2 linked regions of the Oreochromis niloticus genome follow. The main gene of each other region encodes a partner of the protein of the gene in region 2 in a complex. Links are inferred from orthologs where the notes say so. Each region holds a gene or a part of one and is shown on either strand. Other genes may lie near its edges.

Evidence for each region.
Region 1: the proteins of lzts1 (region 2) and asb7 are in contact, whole or in part, in a crystal structure (PDB 8Y1U), measured with the Homo sapiens proteins. The link is inferred for Oreochromis niloticus from reciprocal best matches to the Homo sapiens genes LZTS1 and ASB7. Residues at the interface, in NP_001349813.1 of Homo sapiens: Arg346, Glu348, Leu349, Leu352, Met353, Glu355, Gln356, Leu358, Leu359, Glu360, Lys362, Leu363, Arg364, Ser365, Tyr366; in NP_937886.1 of Homo sapiens: Asn46, Trp48, Ala56, Ile79, Phe82, Tyr87, Met90, His91, Asp116, Trp118, Val123, His126, Tyr127, Ser147, Lys149, Thr151, Gln155, Leu156, Ile159, Arg160, Phe182, Arg185, Tyr186, Ile189, Lys190, Arg210, Leu220, Leu223.

What each region holds. Positions count from the first base shown.
Region 1 is NC_031965.2:5,045,582-5,055,879, reverse strand, and holds the start of asb7 (ankyrin repeat and SOCS box protein 7), read right to left. Parts: upstream 4,612-10,298; 5' UTR 4,349-4,611; intron 4,300-4,348; exon of another isoform or gene 4,052-4,299; intron 3,660-4,051; 5' UTR 3,562-3,659; intron 145-3,561; 5' UTR 132-144; coding exon 1-131. Other genes in the region: lins1 (protein Lines homolog 1), read left to right, coding at 5,125-5,511, 5,587-5,676, 7,767-7,899, 8,214-8,804. UniProt on the Homo sapiens protein: Probable substrate-recognition component of a SCF-like ECS (Elongin-Cullin-SOCS-box protein) E3 ubiquitin-protein ligase complex which mediates the ubiquitination and subsequent proteasomal degradation of target proteins.
Region 2 is NC_031977.2:14,322,854-14,333,244, reverse strand, and holds the start of lzts1 (leucine zipper putative tumor suppressor 1), read right to left. Parts: upstream 4,835-10,391; 5' UTR 4,605-4,834; intron 1-4,604. UniProt on the Homo sapiens protein: Involved in the regulation of cell growth. May stabilize the active CDC2-cyclin B1 complex and thereby contribute to the regulation of the cell cycle and the prevention of uncontrolled cell proliferation. May act as a tumor suppressor.

The sequences.
Region 1 (10,298 bases), on a different chromosome or scaffold from region 2:
AGCATTCTCCTAACAGTGTATACATCCCCTGCTGCCACTGCAGCCTGGATCTGCAGCTCTTCATGAAGCTCAGGGTTCCTTCTGCAGTGGTGGTTCAACATCCTGTCACATTTCGGAATGGTAATTTTCATCTGTACCTAAGCTCTGTTTAAAATAAATAAATAAAAATCAGTAAATATATTCAGATTCAGATGGGTACATTAAGCATGACTGAAATTAAGTTCAGACTTACGGCCATGGCTTTTAATCTGAAAAGACAATACTAAAATTGAAAAAGTAGTTTAACACATAACTTGATGATAGAGGTGGCCTAAGAGCCTGTGTCAGTTTAAGTGTCATTTTCAATAAACTGCATGATCAAATTTTTTTTTTTTTTGTCTCGCTCCCATTTCTTCTTGTTGCATGCTAAAGCTCTACTTGATCCTTGTTAAGATCCAACCATGAAAAATATGATTTTTTGCCATTTTTCAAGTATGTAAGTGAAGTTGGCCCCCCCACCTTCTTCAAATCCAACAAAAGTGGTGTCAAATGTTTGCGCTGGTTTGTGCTACAGAAATTTTTGTTTGTGCCGCTATCATTTTAAAGATATTAGCGGCACAAACAAAAGTTTTAGCAGCACAAACCAGCATAAACGTAGCACAATCGTTTGACACCACTTTTCTTTGATTTGGGTAATGTGGGGGGGCTGGTTGACCTTGACATTTTTATTAATATCTTTAAAATGATAGCGGCACAAACAAAATTTTTTGCAGCACAACGTAGCACAGTTGATTGACACCAATTTTTATTTACTTTATTAATGTGTGTGTGTTGGATTTGAAGAAGGTGGGGGAGCCAACTTCACTCACATTTTTCAAGTGGTCTTAAACTTTTGATTGGGACTGTATCTGGCCGATCTGAGGATATTTTAATGGCTAAAATAAATTTGTGCAAAACCCAACTCATTCATACATTACAGTACAGTGTCTGCCCACCTCTGACCACCGCCTTAGTGCAACATAGATCTACAATTTAAGCAGTTCATTGTAGATCTGACAGATTTGAATGGACATACATGGCAGACAAAACACACAAATCAAGCACACACAGGTGGTGCATTAAAAAAAATATATAAAAATCAAAATCAATATCAAAATGTTAAAGAAAAAGAATCAAAATAATACTGAAATGGTGTACTAATGATGTTCAGAAGTTTTTAAGGGTTAACATTAATAATGAGCTTCCTCAAATATTGAGGAAACTCATTATTTGATCTAGGGCTGAGCGATGATGAAAATCTAATATCTATATCTCATGATATGTTTAAATAACCTCCAGAATCAAATGTTTTTTTCAACCACATGAGTGCGGAAGGAAAAACTCCCTTTTAACAGGAAGAACCCTCCGGCAGAACTAGGCTCTGGGAGGGGCGGGGCCATCTGCCATAACCGGTTAGGGAGATAGTAGGAAGACAGGATAAAAGACATGCTGTGGAAGAGATTAATAACAAGTATGACTCAAAGCAGAGAGGTCTATTAACACATGAAGAAGAAATACTCAAAGCATCATGGGATTTGTTAAGTGTAGATAGTTAAATGCAATAGCAAGTTGTGCCTTGTTCTCAGAAGGACAGCAAGTGGACAGCGATAGATGAGATGAGGAGATGGAAGGAGGAAGAGAGGCAAAGAGTGATTCACAGGCAGAGCCTAGTTCATTTCCCACAGTTTTTTTTAATCTGTTGCCTTACGGTTCCAAGCACTGTCACCGATCTTTGCATTTCATTATTATCTCACAACACAATCAGCTACCATATCTCCTACAGACTTTTTAAATGTCTACAGTGTCAGATCAACACAGCCCTGCCCTCCAGCACTATCAGCAGCAGGAGCAGCAGCAACACCTCAACAGCAACATTGTACCCATCAGGCAAGAAATGGGCTACCTTTGCTTTGCCTTATCCCCACCTGATAACAGTGATACAGTATGATGCGAATCCATATTAGATTTTTGAAGAATATGGGTTGTTGTTATTCACTCTGGTTCCATGTGCCCCTTTTTAACTTTCAGCACCCACCCCTTCAAAAATCTCTACACAGCCCTGGCTGTCAATAAGGGAAATGGCTACAAAGAACAATGCCGTGGTCCCAGAGTCTGCCGAAAAGCGACAGACCGAGCAGGAGGTGTATTCTTGCCTCGACACCCACCTTTGTTGTAGCGTTTGTGTTGCATGTTAATTACGTCACAGGACACTTGGACGTGTTGCTATGACAATGAAAACACACATTAGGTTGTACTTGATTATAATGGAAAACCAGTTAATCCAAGTCGAGTCGTGGCGATTCAAACCGAGCAGGTACTAATGGGAAAGGAGCCTATCTGATCTTGAGCTGCTTTTCTGCTTCTCAATACTTTTCCCATCGCTCTGGTTAAAGTTAATCTTTGTTTTATGTATGTACCACACTGTTGATCTGGCCACTGCCAAATTTCTTACCATCTCTCTCTGGTTTATTGTGTTTTTTTTTTTCCAGCCTAGTGATGGTGTACCTTGTATGCACTGCCATCTGTCTGAGACTTATATTTAAAATTGCAAAACTACAAATACAAAATCAGCTCTATGAGTCAACTTCAGGCATCTGCTTCATTTGCGATGACATAGCGAGGAAACTGCTTTGGAGACAACTGTCCAGTTAATTTTAAGCATCTAAAAACAGGGGACTGCAAGAAAAGGGTGTAAGCCGCCTCTTACTGTACTGCAGTTGGGATAGGCTCCAGCCCCTCCATCACCCTAAATTTCTCAGCAGTTAATCCAAACTCTGAAAAAACATAGACTTAAAGCTCAAAGTCTGCACTTGAACACATTTGACTTAAAATCCAGACTGGTGGAATATAGAGTATATTTTCTACTCTGAGCACTCAAAATGGGTTATACAACTTGCCTCATTCACACAATCATACTATACTGTTTCTATCTAAGCTTTCTATCTAACATTCACACGCATTCACTGACAGATGCATCTTGCCCAAGGATATTTGGCACGCAGACTGGAGAGATGAGGATTGAACCACCAACGTTCTGATTAGCAGGTGCTCTACCACCTGAGCTACACCAAAACTTCAAAAGACCATCAAATCAATTTTTTATTAAATTATTAACATTTCATTATTGCTGTTGTGATTTGTGATAAAAAATCATTGAATTCAATTTAAAGATTTGGTTGATCTCAGAATTGCACAAATAATTTATAAAGCAGCAAACAAATCTTTACTCCACGACATTCAGAACTTTATTAATTTAATTCAGTCTTACTGAATAAAAAGCAGAAAACTTGGAATTTAAATATTAAAGAGACAAGACTATAAAAGTTGTATATATCCCCACAAAAATGTAATTATAAATTAAGTTGTTTGAAAATGTACATGTGAGACAGTCACTTTTTTGCTTCAGCTAACAAAGGCTTAACCATTACTTGATAAAGAGGTCTAGCAAGTTTTTTGTGGTTTCCTTGTTGGGAGAAATTATGCTGCTGTTAAAAAAAAAGAAAGAAAGAAAGAAAAGCTCATGTTTTAGATACTAAAATGTACCTTTTGACCAGCTGAAGAGATGGACTTCTTTTAGTCATATCAGAGCTGCATTTGCAGATGTACTGGTGCACACTGTGAGGAACTGAGAATATGTTTCCCTGTGGCACACAAACACAGTCATCAAAAAAAGATTAGAGGCAATGAAGAGTATTGTGAACACTAACGGACATAGTCAATTGGTCATGGATACACCCCAATTATTGCTGAAAACCATAACAGCCAAACAATAGTAATAACCAGAGAGTTAAATACAAAAAAATAATTATATGCATATACACTACCCAAAGGTAAACTTGCTAATTACACTATTTTTATCCAACCTGAGAAAACTTTGCAAATGAATGAAAATGTAACTATCTGTCATTACCTTAAACCTTAAAAAGTTTGGCTCGTTAAACTCGTTTATGAGAAACAATAGACAACACTGTGCCTTTATTTGCTAACATGACCAATAATACAAAACACGCACAAGTATACAGATATAACTTACAGAAGCTCGGCGGTGAAGATAGCTCATTTCCACCACCCCAGAAAGTGTAATGAAAGTAGATCCTTTTAGAATAACCCATGGTTTACGGCTGTACGTTTCTTAGAAGGTTAGCTGCAGCTAGTTAGCCAGAAAGCTAACAAACTCATTCGCTCGTTTTTAATTTTATTTCGCTTCATTTTACTTTTTACACTATTATAATTGGGTAGAAATAAACCCCAAAACACGGCGTGTGTGGATATTAAAAGGAATTCTACGCCTTTATTGACAAAACAGCAGCTCTATAAAACAAAGACTTACTTGTCAGACGCTGAACCGACGTGTAACTGAGCCAATCAGCTTTCAGGTAGACGGAACGATTGAAGTTGTCAAAGCCGCATAATTCCGTTACTTTCAGCACAAATACAATACTAAACAAAGAAGCTAGTGTCAAACTTTTATCTATATCTTTGTAGGTAATGACAAGAATAATCTAACTGTCCAACACTAAGACTTAATCACAGAGTGTCTGCGAAGAGCTTCACCAGCGTGACTCCATCAGCAAAAACAATAACACTTCCGTCTGCAGACTTTCACAATATAAGCATAATTTCCACAGCTCCAAGCACGTCAAGAACTACCATTTGCAAAGCAGACGTATAAAATGAATTTTTGGATGCAATTAATTTAAAATAAATCAGAAAGGCAAGGAAGCGTGCATATATGATGATGCTATACTGATCAATCAATTTGCAGATTAATGATCATAAAACTAACCTCACGGCCCATTGTTATTCAGTGGAGCTAGTTTCCATCATTATTCTGCAGTCAGCTGAGATTAGTGGTTTGGATGAAGAAACCTTTCTCCTACAGAAAACGTCCAGTTTGACGGAATGAACTTTCTGAAAATAGACACATTATATAAATCCATGGTCATTAAAGTAATTAAAGTGCTATTATTATATTCACTATTATATATTTCCCACAATGTAAAAACAACAACAACAATATAAGGTTCTATTTTCATTTATTAGACTTTTTTATTTTATTTTGGTAATGCTTCACGTATTTTGTAGGGCTGCTTCCGTGTATATCACATGGGAGATCCACGCGGAAGTAGCAGCGCAATGGAGGGTAATATGAGTTGTAAAGACGAAGACCTGTCCATAATGACAGGGCTTTTTAACTGTTTGACAGAAGCGTACAGATGCTTTCTTGCGGGATCGTACCCCCCCCAAAATGCTGCCGATGTAGCGAGCGTAATATATTCGGGATTATGTGGACCTGTCCACGGTAAAGACAGAGAAGGTTCCCCCTCAGAGTACTGCGGTGAAAAGAATGCGGAGCTGACCTGCATGTGCATGTCTTTCCTCGAGAGGGTTTCTTCTAATCTGACGTCTCAGGGGCTGCATCCAGACGTTAAGTTTTATTATGCGGAGGTCCTAAAAGTATTGCTTGAAGACATGGATCTCATCACGCACCTTGTAAGTGCTACCACTGGTCATGGGAGTAAAGACGTAAAGTTATCTTAATAATTGATTTAATTACCTTTTCCATAGGTAAACCGGTTCCAAGCCGAGGACCACATTATCTCACATCTGGCTGCAAAGACAGCATCAAAGTGTGTTTTTTACCTTATCTGCAAATCTGTAAGTAGTCATTCTTTGGAGATTCGTTTTCAGCAACGTTTTTTTTTCCGTCTCTGAGTTGACTGAAACGCTTTAGCCTACTGTAAATCACATACTATTAAAAAATATGTAACACTGTTCATTGTGTATAATGTTAAGAATGGTGAAAAAAGCAAAGTTTTAAAGTAATGTAAAAGGAGACACCAGAAGGGTCTAGATGTTTCTGCTGAACAAAACAAGAGACTGTTTTTCAAAAGCAACGATGGAGAGTGCACGTTATTCACCAATTTACGAATGAAGCTCAATTTCTAAACTCAGTGAATCCAGAGAAATGTATTGTGTGGTTCAAAGGACAGCCTTAAACTGACCAACCTGGGATGCCCTACTGAAGGGCATTGAAGTTTGGGGTGCTGAACTGTGGTGGCGACAGAGGGTAAGCTCTAAGATATAAAAGTGTCTTGTCACAATAAAACTACCAGACCTTGCTGCTTACATGAGGCAAGAGTAAATAACCAAAACTGAAATTAAGTTGTTTGCACAGCTGAGCAAATTATAGGGGCTTAGAATATTTTAACACAGATGCAATAATAATTAAACCCCACGGGGCACACATGTCAGGCACAAACACAGGTGAGCAAATTCATTATGAAGTCACTACAAGTCCCAAGTACGAGGTTTCTTAAAAAACAGCAGTCAAGATATACAACAAACCTTTCTGGCACAGTTAAACAGAACCTATCCAAATTCAAATAATATTTTACTCGGGCAGAAAATGCTAAATTTAAAAAGACAATTGAGTACTGTTTTGCTGCAAAGACACATCCTATGTGAAAGTGCCTTGAGGTATCATAGTGACTAAGATGAACAGGGACATGGCTCAATATGTGAGCGGGGCCAGAAAGGAATTGGCAGAAACACCAGAAGGGCAAAACTTCAGCAACTGGTAGCTGGAACATTCACTCAAGACTAAGACCAGACTGGCCAACCTGTGCACCACCTGGACTTACTACGAGAAAGCCTATGACTCTAAACCTCACACATGGAACCTGGAATTCATAGAGCTACACAAAATGAGCAGAACCCTAATAGTAAAAAAAGAGAGGAAGTGCAGTCCTCTAAGGTCTATCAGAAGGCAACACACTGAAAATAGCCAATTGGGAACCATGAAAAGGCTACTAGGAAAGCTACAACAACCCAGCAAGTAAGGCAAGTCCTGAGAAGTAGCTGAATGGGAAGAACAAGATCAAGGCAATCGCCACCTACTCCCAAAGGAGGAGATCAAATCCACTGACATCAAGACAACGAAGCTTCTTACTTATGCATGTAGGGTTTCACCCCAAATCTAGCCCTCTGAGACTGTACGCTGAGCGGAGGGAAGGAGACCAAGTGCTAGTGAGTGTCAGAAGCACTATCCAGGATGAAACAACAAAGAGCCACATGATCAATTGTGGTCATCAGGAAGATGTATAGTACCATATCACCCCAATGGAGCACTTTGCTCTCAGATTGCAGATTTACTTGTGGTTACTGGGATATTTTAAAGTAGTATGCAAGGCAGAACTTTCAGGTATCAGGCACCTTTTCTGTGGACCCAGCTCCCAGCTTGGATTTGGGAGACAGAGACCCTTTCTACTTTTAAGATTAGGCTTAAGACTTTCCTTTTTCTGAAAGCTTATAGCTACGGCTGAATCGCGTGACCTTGAATCCACACAGTAGCACTAAACAGTAGACTTAGGCTGCTGGGGTTCTCTCAAGATGCACTGAACGTTTCTCCTTCTCTTACCCTTTTTTACTCACCATCTCCGGCTCTCTTCCACAGCATGTCTTTTATCTAGTCCCCCGCCCAGACTGGTCATGGCAGATGGCTGCCGTGACCTGGTTCTGACGGGTTGGACAACAGTGGAAAGGAACTCCCTTTTAAAAAGAAGGTTGAAAGGGAGTTTTTCCTCCCCACTGTTGCCAAGTCCTTACTCATAGGAGGTTATCTGTTAGGGTTTCTCTATAAAATTTTAGTGTCTTTACCTTTCAATATTGAGCGCCTTGAAGTGACTGTTGTTGTGATTTGACAGTTTAAAACTGAATTTAAGCGCTTGTATGCTTAAATTTCTTAGGGAGTTATCAGTCCTGTCTGGCAGAGGAAATGTGAACAAGCATTTCAGAACCCATGGCCTGGTGCTGAATTAGATGCCTGTTTGTGGTCACTGACTGAAGTCTCCAAAAAACTTCTTAAAGGAGCTCATCGAGGTAAACGGTGTTAGTAATTTTAATTTTCAAAGAGTCCAAAATCCACGATATCTAGGCTATAATGGTAACAAAAATACAGAAAATGAGCAAATTATCAAATTGTAGAAACTGCAGCCAGAACATTTTAAGATTTTGAACATTTCAATGAATTTACTTAAAGATGAGTTTGTTATTGAAATTGTAAATAAAATCATTTGTTCTTTAGCTAGGGTAACTCATTGGGGTAAGATATGGGCAGAAAAGAGCAACCTATGATGCTTACAGGATGATGGTTGATTTTGTCTAGTCTCACATTTTTTTTCTTCTTCCATTAGAGCTTATGACACTTCTGGCAGGTTTTGACCTCAGTCTAAGTGTTCTATGTTCAAAACTGCTCCCTGAAGAGAAGAAACACATGTCACAGCATTTAGTGGATTTTACCAGAAGCACACACTGGGGAACATCATTATGTCTACTGCTAGACCTGCTTGAGGTGCTGACTTCTTCTAGTTTGGTATGTGGAGCTGGTGTCCATTTGAAGAGTCAGAGAATAACCCACCTTCACTCGTTGGCCCTCCTAAACATCTGCTCCTCCTCAGAGTATTATGTTAAAAAGCGAGTGCTGCTTCTTCTAAAGAGAGCAATCCTTCAGAAGGCTGGAGAGGACTGGATTTCAGGGGATGTGGCGTCATGGATGACATGTGGAAACTGGAGCTCTGATATGAGCATTCTTGCTCGAACTGTGTTAAAAGCAGCTTCTGACAATTGGTTACTGAGTATTCAAATGCAGTCTGGCGCTTTCTTTGGAGGAACCAGGCACATTCTGGGAGATCAAATTCAGAACTGGGATTGCGTGATGCTGAGAGCTGTCAGCCTGATTATTCTCAAGTCCATAGAGCTTTGCATCCAAACAGCTGCAGGATCAGGTGAGAATAAAAAAACAAAAAAAAACAAAACATCACCAGTAGATATACACTTGAGATTGTGTGCAGCATGTTTGATGATCTATAATTTTTGCATAAGTACAATTAAAGGTGTTGCTGAACTTTAAACCAATTAAATTAAAAACAAATCATTTGAAGCTCTTCTTTTTGATAACCGTGATAGTACTGGGTTAGCAAACGACATAACTTCATAGGATTTTTTTTTCTCACCCAGAAATCTCAGCAGCACATTCAGTGGTAAAACAATTAAAAACAAACAAACAAAAAAAACGCTGAATGTTTCCCCTCAGTGTCTGTTCTCTCCCCCTGACCATTCAAATCAAAGACAAAAGTCTGGATGAGCAGATGTATGGGCAGAAATCTGTGCCATCAGAAACTGAATTTGAATAAGTTAAATTTGAATCTGAATTGCTCAGATTGAATCTGAATTGTAACTTGAATAAATGCTTTTGAAAACTGAATTTGAATTAGTCTAATTTGAAATTGAATTTATGGTTTAAAAATGATCATCACTAAATTGAAATTGAATTTTATTTTTGAAAATGAATTCATTTGCTTTGAAACTGCATTTTATCCTTTAAAAATTCAGCTCTCGAATAATTTCAGTTTCACTCTCACCATTCAGTTTCAGTTCTACAATTCAATTTCAGTTCCAAAATTCAGTTTTTTGGAACTTACATCCGGTTCCGGTTCAAGAGTAAACGAGCGCAGATTAATAGAACTACGTTTTACTAGCGGACCGAAAGTGTTACTGACGGGAATCTACAGTGTCTTGAGCTGAATTAAGACTTCAGAAGTCATTCGTCATGTCGAATGACCAGCGGATAAACTCTCAGGTTGGTAATAAATGTATTACATGTATAAGAACAAGCGTCATGTTAACAATTGATAGCCGTACAGTAACTTTTATGCTTATTGTAGCTGTTAGCTAAAAACGCTAATTTAGCCTAGTTTGCCCTGGATTCAGCTTTGACAAACAAATATGATCGACTGTTTCTAGTAGAATTCCAAAGTTGTCATCTTGTACCCTGTCAGAGCCCTGTATGCTTGCAGAGACCCCTACAGTAGGGAAACATGCAAAACAGTGTCCAAACCTTTGTATTTTAGCTTTATTTATGTCTTACACAGCATCCCAACTCTTTAGCTAACTTAATAACTTTAGCTAAAGTGAATAGTTAGTCTAATTCATTAGTGCAGCATTACTGGATCACCTCCGTTTGAAGTGATATAATATGATATACAACTATCACTGAAACAGCAAACTTTGTAAATAAACAACACTAATCATTCTCTAAACGTTTGGCCACAGCTGTAGATTACACTATCAGTGCTTTTTCACTCTTGACAATAATTACATTTCTAAATTCTCTTTGTGCATTTACAGGTAAACAATATCTAATATTTTATCTAAATGACTGCTTTGTCTTTGAAAAGGTGAAGAGCCTGAGGCCGGTGACAGTCCAGTTCTACTCCAAG
Region 2 (10,391 bases):
TTTCCTCACATTTCAGAGTCCAGTGTACTTAAAGTAAATTTTAAACTACTGTTTTGCTTTGCGTAAGGCTAAAATACATTTAGGTATTTGTTGTTTAAGGCTTTTAATGTAAGTTAAGCTAACTTGAATTAACTTAAACATTTGAACAAACAAAATATATTTTACCTAATTTACACTTGTTTTTTTTTTTTTTTTAAATGATTCAATTAAACATGAAGTGGTCAAAGGGTGAGATATTTTGATTTTTGGTCATTTGTATGAATATAACTTAAAAAATACTTCCCAGAATGCAATGCCCAACAATATCTTAAACCCATCATCTAAACAAAGGCTCCAGTTTGAAATACAGCATTTCTATTAAAAAAAAGCTAATCCCTGTTACATCACTACTTTTTTGGAGACATGTAAGGACACCATACAGAGTATCAAGAATAACAGAAGATTTATACAACCATTTACACAGAATATGAAATATTACTAAATAATGTATAAAATCTGCAGTTGTTCTCTACCAGTAAAGTTATCATGCTCAAATTTGTATGCATGTAATTTTTAATTGTAACTTTTGATTAAAAAAAAAATTGGAGATATACATGCAAACTTTGTTAAAACCTGTACTGTTTTAGCATGAAAAATCTAGAAAAACTCATCATTGTTTCCACAGCATGCATGCTGGCTTATCAGCGTATATTAAACCAGAATGTGATTTTACAGTCAGTATATGTCACTGAGCTTACTGCAGGTTTCCCAAAGAGGAGCTGTAAAATGATAAATGAATTATGCTAAAGGCATTAGTGTGTCCCAACTTTTTACCTGTAAAGTGTGGACTGAACCTTTATTGCTTCCAGCCACGTCAGTCTAAATGAATCTTTATAGCCTACGGTTCGATCCTCTGAATGCAAAATGCCGAACGCGCTGCTCACACTGTGATGTAACGCATTAGATAACTGGAATCAATCTTTGGCTCACACTAAGTAAATAATGGTTCACAGACAATGAAATGGACATTCCTATTATCCCAACATGACAGTGAAAATTTAAATCACCAATTACGGTGCGAAGAGAAGAAGACACAGTTCACATATGACAGCTGAGTATTTCACAGAGACTAATCGGTGCATAGGTTAAATTATTGAAAAGCAATACTCTTTCTCTGTCATTCTCTGAAGGCTGTCAAGGCCTCAGTCTCTCACTCACTCACACACACACACACACACACACACACACACACACACACACACACACACACACACACACACGCACACACACACACACACACACACACACACACACTTTCTCTATCTTGTGTCTTACTCACAAGACTGAGTTGTGGGGATGAGTAATGTGGCCTCCAGCAGAACATCAACTGGGAATGAAGTGTGGAACAGAGACGGTCATCTATCTTTCACTTTCACTGCTAACACATCTATCTACTGACCAAGCACACATGCACACACACACGCACACACACACACACACACACACACACACATACAAGTACACACACACACACACACACACACACACACACACACACACACACACACACACACACACACACACACACACACACACACACACACACACACACAATGACATCCAATAGCAGCTAATTGGGTAATCCTTTTAGTGCATTGTAAAGGAGATCGAGCATGAATAGGGCTTCAATGCTGAAGTGCAGAATACCAGACACTCATTACTGCCCTGAAGTAGGGAGATGGAATACCAGGCACAGAGAGAGGCACAAGCAGAAAGAGAGAGACACTGACTTGGAAGGACTGTGTGTGCGTGAGAGAAGGCTATTTATTCTGTGCAGCTAACATTGCATTATCCATTGACAACTATTGTATTGCCCAGCATACAGCCCATGTATCCTCTGTTTGAGATATAAGGGTCAGGATACAGAAAGAGGTTTAATTATGAATAATAAAAGTAAACAATTTTTGCATATTAATGTGATCTCAGTGTCTCCTTTTGGCAACCAGGCAACTTTGACTAGAGCTCAGCTTTTAGTGAGACCCCCCAGCCCGAAATTAGATTGCATTCAGATGCTATTATGTGCATCCAAATGAGACATTAGGTCAACCAAACCATCAACCTCCATGGGTTTTAATAGATAAGGAGGTCGTCTGCACTATTCATTGGCTCTGTATGGCTGGCCAACTACTGCTCTTGTAGTGCGTGCATTTGCATAACCTTGGCAGTTGGAGTGTAGAGGAAAATGTATTTTTAATGGAGTCTAAATGGGAACCTTTAGTGTCGCGACAAGCATGGAAACTAATGCTCATGAATTCAAGAAGTCCTAAAATTAAATATCTCAAATGTCCTTTTATATTTCCTTATTGAGCTGCATCCGCCCATACTCGATTGGTTATTACCTTACAATGCGTTTCTGCACCTTTTTGTTGTAATACCTCAAACATGCGCAGTGCCATGGAACCAGTCCAAAAAAGGTTTTAAAGACTTGCATGCATCTTCTGTTAGATAGCTCTTATCAAAGTCCAGCTCAGCTGTCATAAAATATTAACTTCTCTGGCTTTTATTCCTCTCTAAAAACAGCAACTGAAAATGTAACAAATGGAAGCGTTTTTTAGACGTTCTGAATTATTGCTCACCCATTACTCGCACATATACTTTTTCCATTACTTGTCACCCGTTTTGAACAGCCTGTCCTATTCGTGTCTGATATGACAGCCTTTTTATTATAAAATTCAAATTTGATTGATTGCCATAAAAGCTTTGTTGCGATGCTGTTTGCACATTAACAGAGGATTCGGAAAAAGACTTCATGGTTATGGCCAAAAATATAGAAGTCACATTTGCTAATACATTTTACTGCTGTCAGATCAGTTATTTTGTTCTGGTGTTATAAAGGTGTTATAATGCCTCGTCAGGCTATATTTTGTATCAATGATAGGGCATGAGAACTTTTAGTATATAGACGTTTGGATTTCGCACACAGTCACACATACTTATTATGATTTATCCTAGCTTAAGAGGTGGATAACATGTATAGGTAGGTAGAAAAGAATGAGGCCTTTCCTGGCACTGAAGCCTGATGACCCCCAAAAGCTGAATACTCAATGATAAGATTGTCATTCTTGAGCATAACTGCCTCCCATCCTCCTAATCTTCTGTGGCTGTGCGTGTGTGTGTGGATGGTGTAATGTGGGAGTAAGAGGAAGTAAGGAGGAAGACACAATGAGCTCACTTTAAGGGGGTCTATATCATCCCAAAAGCAGCTGGAGATATTTGCTGCAGGCGATACCTGTGCTCAGCTCCAAAATAAAGGCCCTCTGACCTTGTTTTGCTACTTTGTTTATTTCAGGGAAATTTTCTTTCAGAAGTCTGACTTGGGATAATTGGGAAGAGTCATGAGCTGATATTCATCTACTGTTTACTTCTAAACAGAAACAGTTTCATTCCTGAAAAGTTAACTACTGTGGATGTAGGAATGTTGGGTTGCCTTGCTTCTTTGGCAGAGCCTTCATTCACGAGTGGATGCTGTTATATAGGTATCTGGGACAGTTATTTTAAGAAGCATCTCCTTTAGCAGGTCATGACAGCTTCAAATGATTGTCACACGGTAATGAGCAAAGCATTAGTTATTGAAAAAAGCCAAAAAAACCAACCCAAAACGGAATCATCTGTCAAGTCTCGATATTTACATAAAAAATGATCTCTGCTGTGTACATAAAAAACAAACAAACAAACATCTCAGCCAGTGAAATGACAGGGAACTGTCTATTCCCACTTTTTTTTTACTCTCACATTCCTTGGTACAATTCCTCCCCTGTGTTTTTCTCCACACAATAATTTGGTACAAACAAAGCTGAACATGCCTGTACAAGTGCCCTATACTTACCCACTCACCTTGTCACCTGCACAATGTACAAGAATTCATGTTCTCAGCAGGTCTCAACACATATCTCACTGTACGCGAGTGTGACAGCAACTGGGAGTTGGCGAAACAGCTCTCCTTCATGTGTTACAATTAATTGTATAAAAGAAACAGCAATATTTAGGAACCGTGGGTTGGTGGGGGGTTACTTTAGGTAATCACTGGGTGGGGAATACACTTGAAAATCATGTTGAAAACACCTATAACTACCAGCTTAGCCTTCGGGGGTATTTATATCCCAGGAGTTGTTGTGTTTATATCAAATCAAACCTCACGCTGGTCCCTATTATTTTAAGCTTTTTTAAAACAATGGTTTGCCCAGTAATGGCTGAGCTGAATGAAAAGAGCCCGAGTGGCAGTTTTCTGGGTCGAAATCAGACATTTCATTTATAGCCAGTGTGTCCTCAACACAGACATGATTTCATTTTAAAATTCAGTTTACATTTAACAAGCAAAAGCCTTGGACTGCTTCCATGCGTAGAAACATTGGAATTATTACTAATGTTAGCTGTAATTTGGTATGATCATAAAGTGATCCTAGTTCATGCTGCTTAAACTTTGCAAATCGCACACTTAAATAAGGAGGAATCTGCTTGTATCCTGCTTGAACTGCAAGGCTTTGAGCCTCGCACGAGTCTCTGCCATCATTTCAGATCCAGTCAGAAAGCCATGCTGTCTTTGAGTACCTGTAGTGGTGACTTACCTCCATTATTCTTTGCCTCCACAGTCTCAGTCACTTCTGCTTTTGCCCCGTCTCCCAAGCTTTGTGATCTATGAGCAAACCATCCTTAGCCGAACACTGGCAGGGCCGGTGTGGGGAAAAAAGTGATGTCTGCTTTTGTTGTTTGAGGTCTCTTAGGTTCCTTTCCTCAGACCTCTTCAATACCTGGAACACTCAGTCCGTCCCGTCTCCCATACTCTCTCACATTCCTTCATAAACTTCTCTCTCGCTCTCTCTCTCTCCCCTCCCCTCTCTGTATCCTTCTTGCCTCTCCCCTGAACTCCCTCCCACTCTCTCCTTCAATCTTAACATTTGCCACTCTGTCTCATCCTCCTTCCAGCTTTGATATATATTTTATTGTTTTTTCAAAGCCTTTTGGATCATTCAATAAAAAGTGTTATTTTTCTTAGCATTATTAGTTATGTTAGATAAATATTATTTATATATATACTTATATATTTATTTGCCCACTAGTTCTTCAGGATTCATGCTATTTCTTGTTCCCTGCAAACATCGCTCCACCTGTCTCTTCCTACTTTTCTTCTTTATTAACTAACTAATTAATAACTTACTGCCTATGTATCCATACAGACTGTAAATCATCCATCGCCACACCTCTAAGGCACACTCAGTTTTCCAAAGCGGTCAAAATACCTCAGTGCTTGAAAGTGTACAGTGTCAAAAATGAATCCCTTAGTGTTCTTTTCTTGTGAGACCATGTGTGACAGTGTAATTACTTGAACCTGTGCAGCCCATATGTGTGCATGTGTGCACCAGCAGGTAAGTTAGTGAGTGGCTGTGGGGTGGATGACTCATACTGTTACCCACCTTGCTGCGCTGCTGTAGATTTAACCCGCTTCACTGCATCAGCCGACTTTGCCGTCTCTCGCGTACACAAAGGAAGCTCTGCTTTGTTTTATTTATGTTACAGATGAGTTGAATAAATCACCGGGATGGCAGGTTATAACCCCACAGCGTAGTCTTGGCAGAATACCCATTTGATGTGCCTCAGCTCCCGTTTCGTCTTTCTGTGTCCGTCATGTTTCTCTGTTCCTGTCTGCATATCTTTCTTCTTGGTGTTAGTTTCACCTTTTCTTTCTCTTTCTTCTTTTACAGTCTAACCTCATTTGTTATTCTTAATCTTCAGCCCCAGAAACCTCAAAGACTGCTGCATCACAATTAGAAGTATCTAAACTTCTCCGTCGTTCAGGATTAATGCAATAAAATAAAGTTTGAACTCCTTTGTTGGCTGTGAATAAAACGTTCTATAAGTGCTCATTGCCATCTGGGCATATTTGGTGGAGATACAAAGACTTCTGTCGGTGTTGCTGATGTGCCAGATTTTCTTGAACTGACACTGCGCTTTAGAGTCTGGGCGATGATATGTAATGAGCAGCCAGGAGCACAGTCAGAGATACACCTTTATACTCAATGGGTGGCAAAATAGGCATGCCTATATTTAATAGCGTGTTTGGGGCAATTGTTAAAAGCCTGTAATTTTAGTCGTGACCAATCTCGTTTCAGTGCTTCACAGCATCATTTCCCCCTTTGTATTGTTTGTTGCCTGTTGCTCCTGCTAAACATACCCAGGTTGCTGTGTATGTGCGTGTGATGATGACAAATCTGCTGCCATGATAAAATTCAGTCTGTTTTTGTATGTGTGTCTAAAGATGTAAAATGAGGAGCGGTGCTGTTAAAAATATTTATTATTTGTGTACCTCAGCACTCATGCGTGTTTGTGTCTAGCGTGCGTGTAAGGCTCTTTGTGTATTTACACTCACTGTCATATTAATCTTCTAGTGAGTCTCTAAAGATTGCGTTATACAGGAAAACTATTAAAAGATGTTTTGTGTTTTCAGCTAAAAGTGAAAGAAGTAGCGTGATTACTCATGTGAGTTTTATGTTTTCTGGACTTTGACAAGCAGCTCGGGCTGTCAGGCTGTGAATGGGCTGCAGGAATTGATTGGATTTTTATGTCAAATTTACTCTTCCAGAACGCGCCTCCTTTTCTTGGCCTGGCCCCATCTTCCTGCTTATCTTCACTCACCCCCACAGACATAAATAAGCGCATGGATGAAGATCAATACCTTGTTGAATAAAAAGACCCTGCATAATGGTGTTGACCCAGCTGGCACAAGCAAGTGACCCTAATCAGTGGCCAGAGGAAGGACACAGCGAAGTGAAAACACATAGATGGCCATACAGAAGTTGCACCTATGCTTCCGTACGTAAAACCATCCTCGTGTGTGTTCGTGTAACCCCACACTTGCATTTGAGATTTGGGTTAGGGTGCAAAAACAAGGACACAAAAACACACACACAGCTGAGCTTAAAATCCAATTTCTTATGTAAGTGTGCTCAGCGCACATACCTTTTTGGCAGACTGGTGGATGTAGGCAGCTGAATGTGTATCCTGTGTGAATCCGTATGGAGATAAAATAGTCGTAGTCAAGTCATGATAGTCTTGTACTCTGAACAAACATGTACAGTAGCTGCGTGATGTGTAAGTATTGTTGTAACGCTACTGTGAAGATTAGCTTTCCAAAATAATCTCTGACGTTGCCTTTTGCTGAAACATTAGTCTTAAATTTAAGTTGATCAAATAAATAAAGGTGCAGAATTAGGTCAGGTCCCTTTTATTTATACTTTACAGCTTCTATGTAACTATGTTCTATCAGGAATCACTTTTCTGGTGAAATATTTAAGGTATCATTTCCTTCAATAAAATCAGTGTTCACCGTGAGAGGTCGTCATAATAGTAATCGACAGTAATAAATGAAACCCAAACCTCTTCGCCACAGGAAAATGCCCCTCTTTTGGGTTGTAAACAGGTAGCAGTAACATTGACGCTCCAGTTTAATTACTGCGAACTACTCCCCAGTGCTCCTTCTATCTCTCTAATAGCATTTCCTCTGCTGTCTGAAATAGTTTGTGGCTACCACACTAGGCCCTCCATCATTTAAACTGTCTATTTGGGGAACATTCAACCCTCCAGAACTTGAATCACTCAGCCCTGTGAAAAAAAATTAGGTATGCATTCGTCTGAGTTAGGTGCCTCTGCACTAACAAGCTGAATGGCCTTCGGTAATCCTCAGGCCTCGGTCTTTTCTCCTTTCTGAAGTGCTTTTCTCTCTCTTTTTTATCTCCTGTCAAGGCTGACAGCTCCACTGTGCATCAGCATGTTCACCTGGGGCCGAGCAGAAGGGCAGATAGAGATAATATTGACAGAAGTCGTAGTCCGACAAAGATAAATGATGTCACCGAGAAAGAAAGGAGTGGAGAGAAAATTGGACAAGAAGTGTAAGAATTGAAGAAAGAAAGTGATGGAATTTGAGCAAGAAAAGGAGGTAAAGAGGCCAAGGTGAGGTCTGGGTGCACAAAAGTAGGGCTTGAGCTAAGGCTTTATTGATTCTGTTGGCTTTGTCTGTCACCGCCCCAGGGGACACACTTGGCCTATGATGTATGGCTGCTTCATTCTCTGCTGCTGCAGCAAGGGACACAAGTCAGGGAGTCAGCCACTACAGGGACCTTGTTTTACGCTGCTGGTACAGCAGAGCCAGGGCAGCCCTCCGAGCCATGTACATCACAACTCCACTGAGAGGTGGCGCGACCCAAAGAAAGCAAAAGAGACTTCCACCTGCTCGTTGACCTGAAGGAACATGGCTTCCAGCTAAACTTCATTTATCTCCCACTCCCGCTGTGCGGCAAAAAATACACGAACGAGTCGTCGATAAATAAAACCCATACAGATATTTTTGTATTTCTCTCTTGCGTGAAAAAAAAGGAATGTACAACTTAACCCATTTCAAGAGATGAACTCAGAGTAAGTGCGCATACGTACACACACAGATGGCCGCACATCAAAGCATTGATAGCTGTCTCTCTCTGCGCGAAGGCAATTTGCTCTGCCCAAGATCTTGCGCACCGGTAGCATATAAATAAGCTTGGCACCATGTGGTCGGAGAGCACAGTAACAGCCCGTCAGGTTAGATGAGGACAATAAAGTTGTCTACTTGCACACCCAATGAGTGGCACATTTTGAGAAAGTAGTACACAGAGATACTGATGTTGTCACCGAGACACTCACGCAGGCAAATACTGGGGTTATTAGTATTGATTTAATGTGCCTTGCTTAACTCCGCTAAGCCACAGTTTGATGAGACTTTAATTCATCAACATACTCTCTCTGTTGAAGGTGTCGGGCACCGAGCCGGGGCATTGTCTTCACAGACAAAAAGGGATGAACTAACTTCAGATAAAAGTCTGGGTTGAAAACACGCACAGATCTCCTCATCAGTATACATCTCGAGCCCTCAGAAATGTGCACACGTGAGAGGTTAACGGTAGGACAGGAACGCCTCTGGCGCTCAGTGAATCTTTCTTTGGAGCTTCCAGTTGCTATTTCACACTCATTTTACCTTTCAAACTACATTTGCACATAATCCAATTAAGTCACGGGGTTAGTAAAAGAACTGTTGCTGATGATTTGAGTTTTTGATGCATGGGCACAGAGACTTCCACGGTGCCTCTTCCCATATGCGGTGCAGATGGATCACCGCTGAAGTCACCATCCTCCACTTGTTTTGCCCTGCAGGTGTTGTGTGCATAGTATAAATTTCACAAATAAAGCCATCCATCTCTCCCTCTGGTTAACACTTCAGACGCTAACAACAGTTAACTGCTTTGAGAAGTCTTAAGCATCCACTAATAGGGATTATATGGAGTGTAACTGGGCTATAAATTGCAGAGAGGTGCACAGTCAAATAGCGTGAACAGAATAGAAGAATATACCAAACAGTTTGTCTCTCTCAGAGAACAATTAGGCGATGCCGGGTCAAGAAGACAGTTTTATTTGGTTTATTATTTTGATAGTGCTGACATTCAATTGAGACACACTCAATGAGTGTTTCACATGAATCATGAAAATAGAGGTCTGCAAGCCAGCAGTTATTACTTTGCAAAGAGACCAAGCTCGTGAAAAATGGCCCCACATTTCTATAATAATCAAGCCGCTGTGAATTCTGGCACAGCGCTAAACAAATGTGTTAATACACCAATTAAAAAAGGGGCCCTGCTGCACTAATGCACCTCTAAAAATCCTGCTGCAGTCATAATACCTGCTTGTGATTCTAGTCTTTTTTTTTTTTTTGCATCAGTCTGTTATTCTGTGCCACAAGCAGCTCGTGAGCCCCGGTACCTTAAAATAAACCCACTTTCACATAACCTATTTCCCACAGCCATTTTACCCCTCCTGATCTTTCCTGATCACTTTATCCTTTTTAACATAGCTAAAGTCACCAAGGTGTGATGACAGCAAGAGGTTGAAATGCAAAAAATAAAAAAGCTTCTTAAAGAAAAAAAAGTTGGAACCAGTGCAAGTCCCCAGCCTTGGTGTTACTGTATGCAGAGAAGTTGCTTATCGGTTTCACAAGGGGGCAATGTTGCCATTCACTTCATGAATCCAGGTCTTCTCAAGAATTAGTTTTCCTTTTAGATGATATCATGCACGAAACAAAATTATGTTATTCCTCATGAGCAGGAGGGAAGTATTAACAACAGTTTCCCAGTTTCTCTTCTTGGTTAAAATTAGCGGAGTGCTGATACAGGGGGCAGTCCCTCCATTGTGCTCGCAGCACACTGGGTCCCTGTTAATTTCCCAGCTCAGTGGCGAGGCAGTCATTATCTGAGGATGGGCATCTACAATGGATAATTATTCTGGGAAAAGGATTTCAAACTGTGGAGAAAATACTGCTTTCAACACAGGGGCCT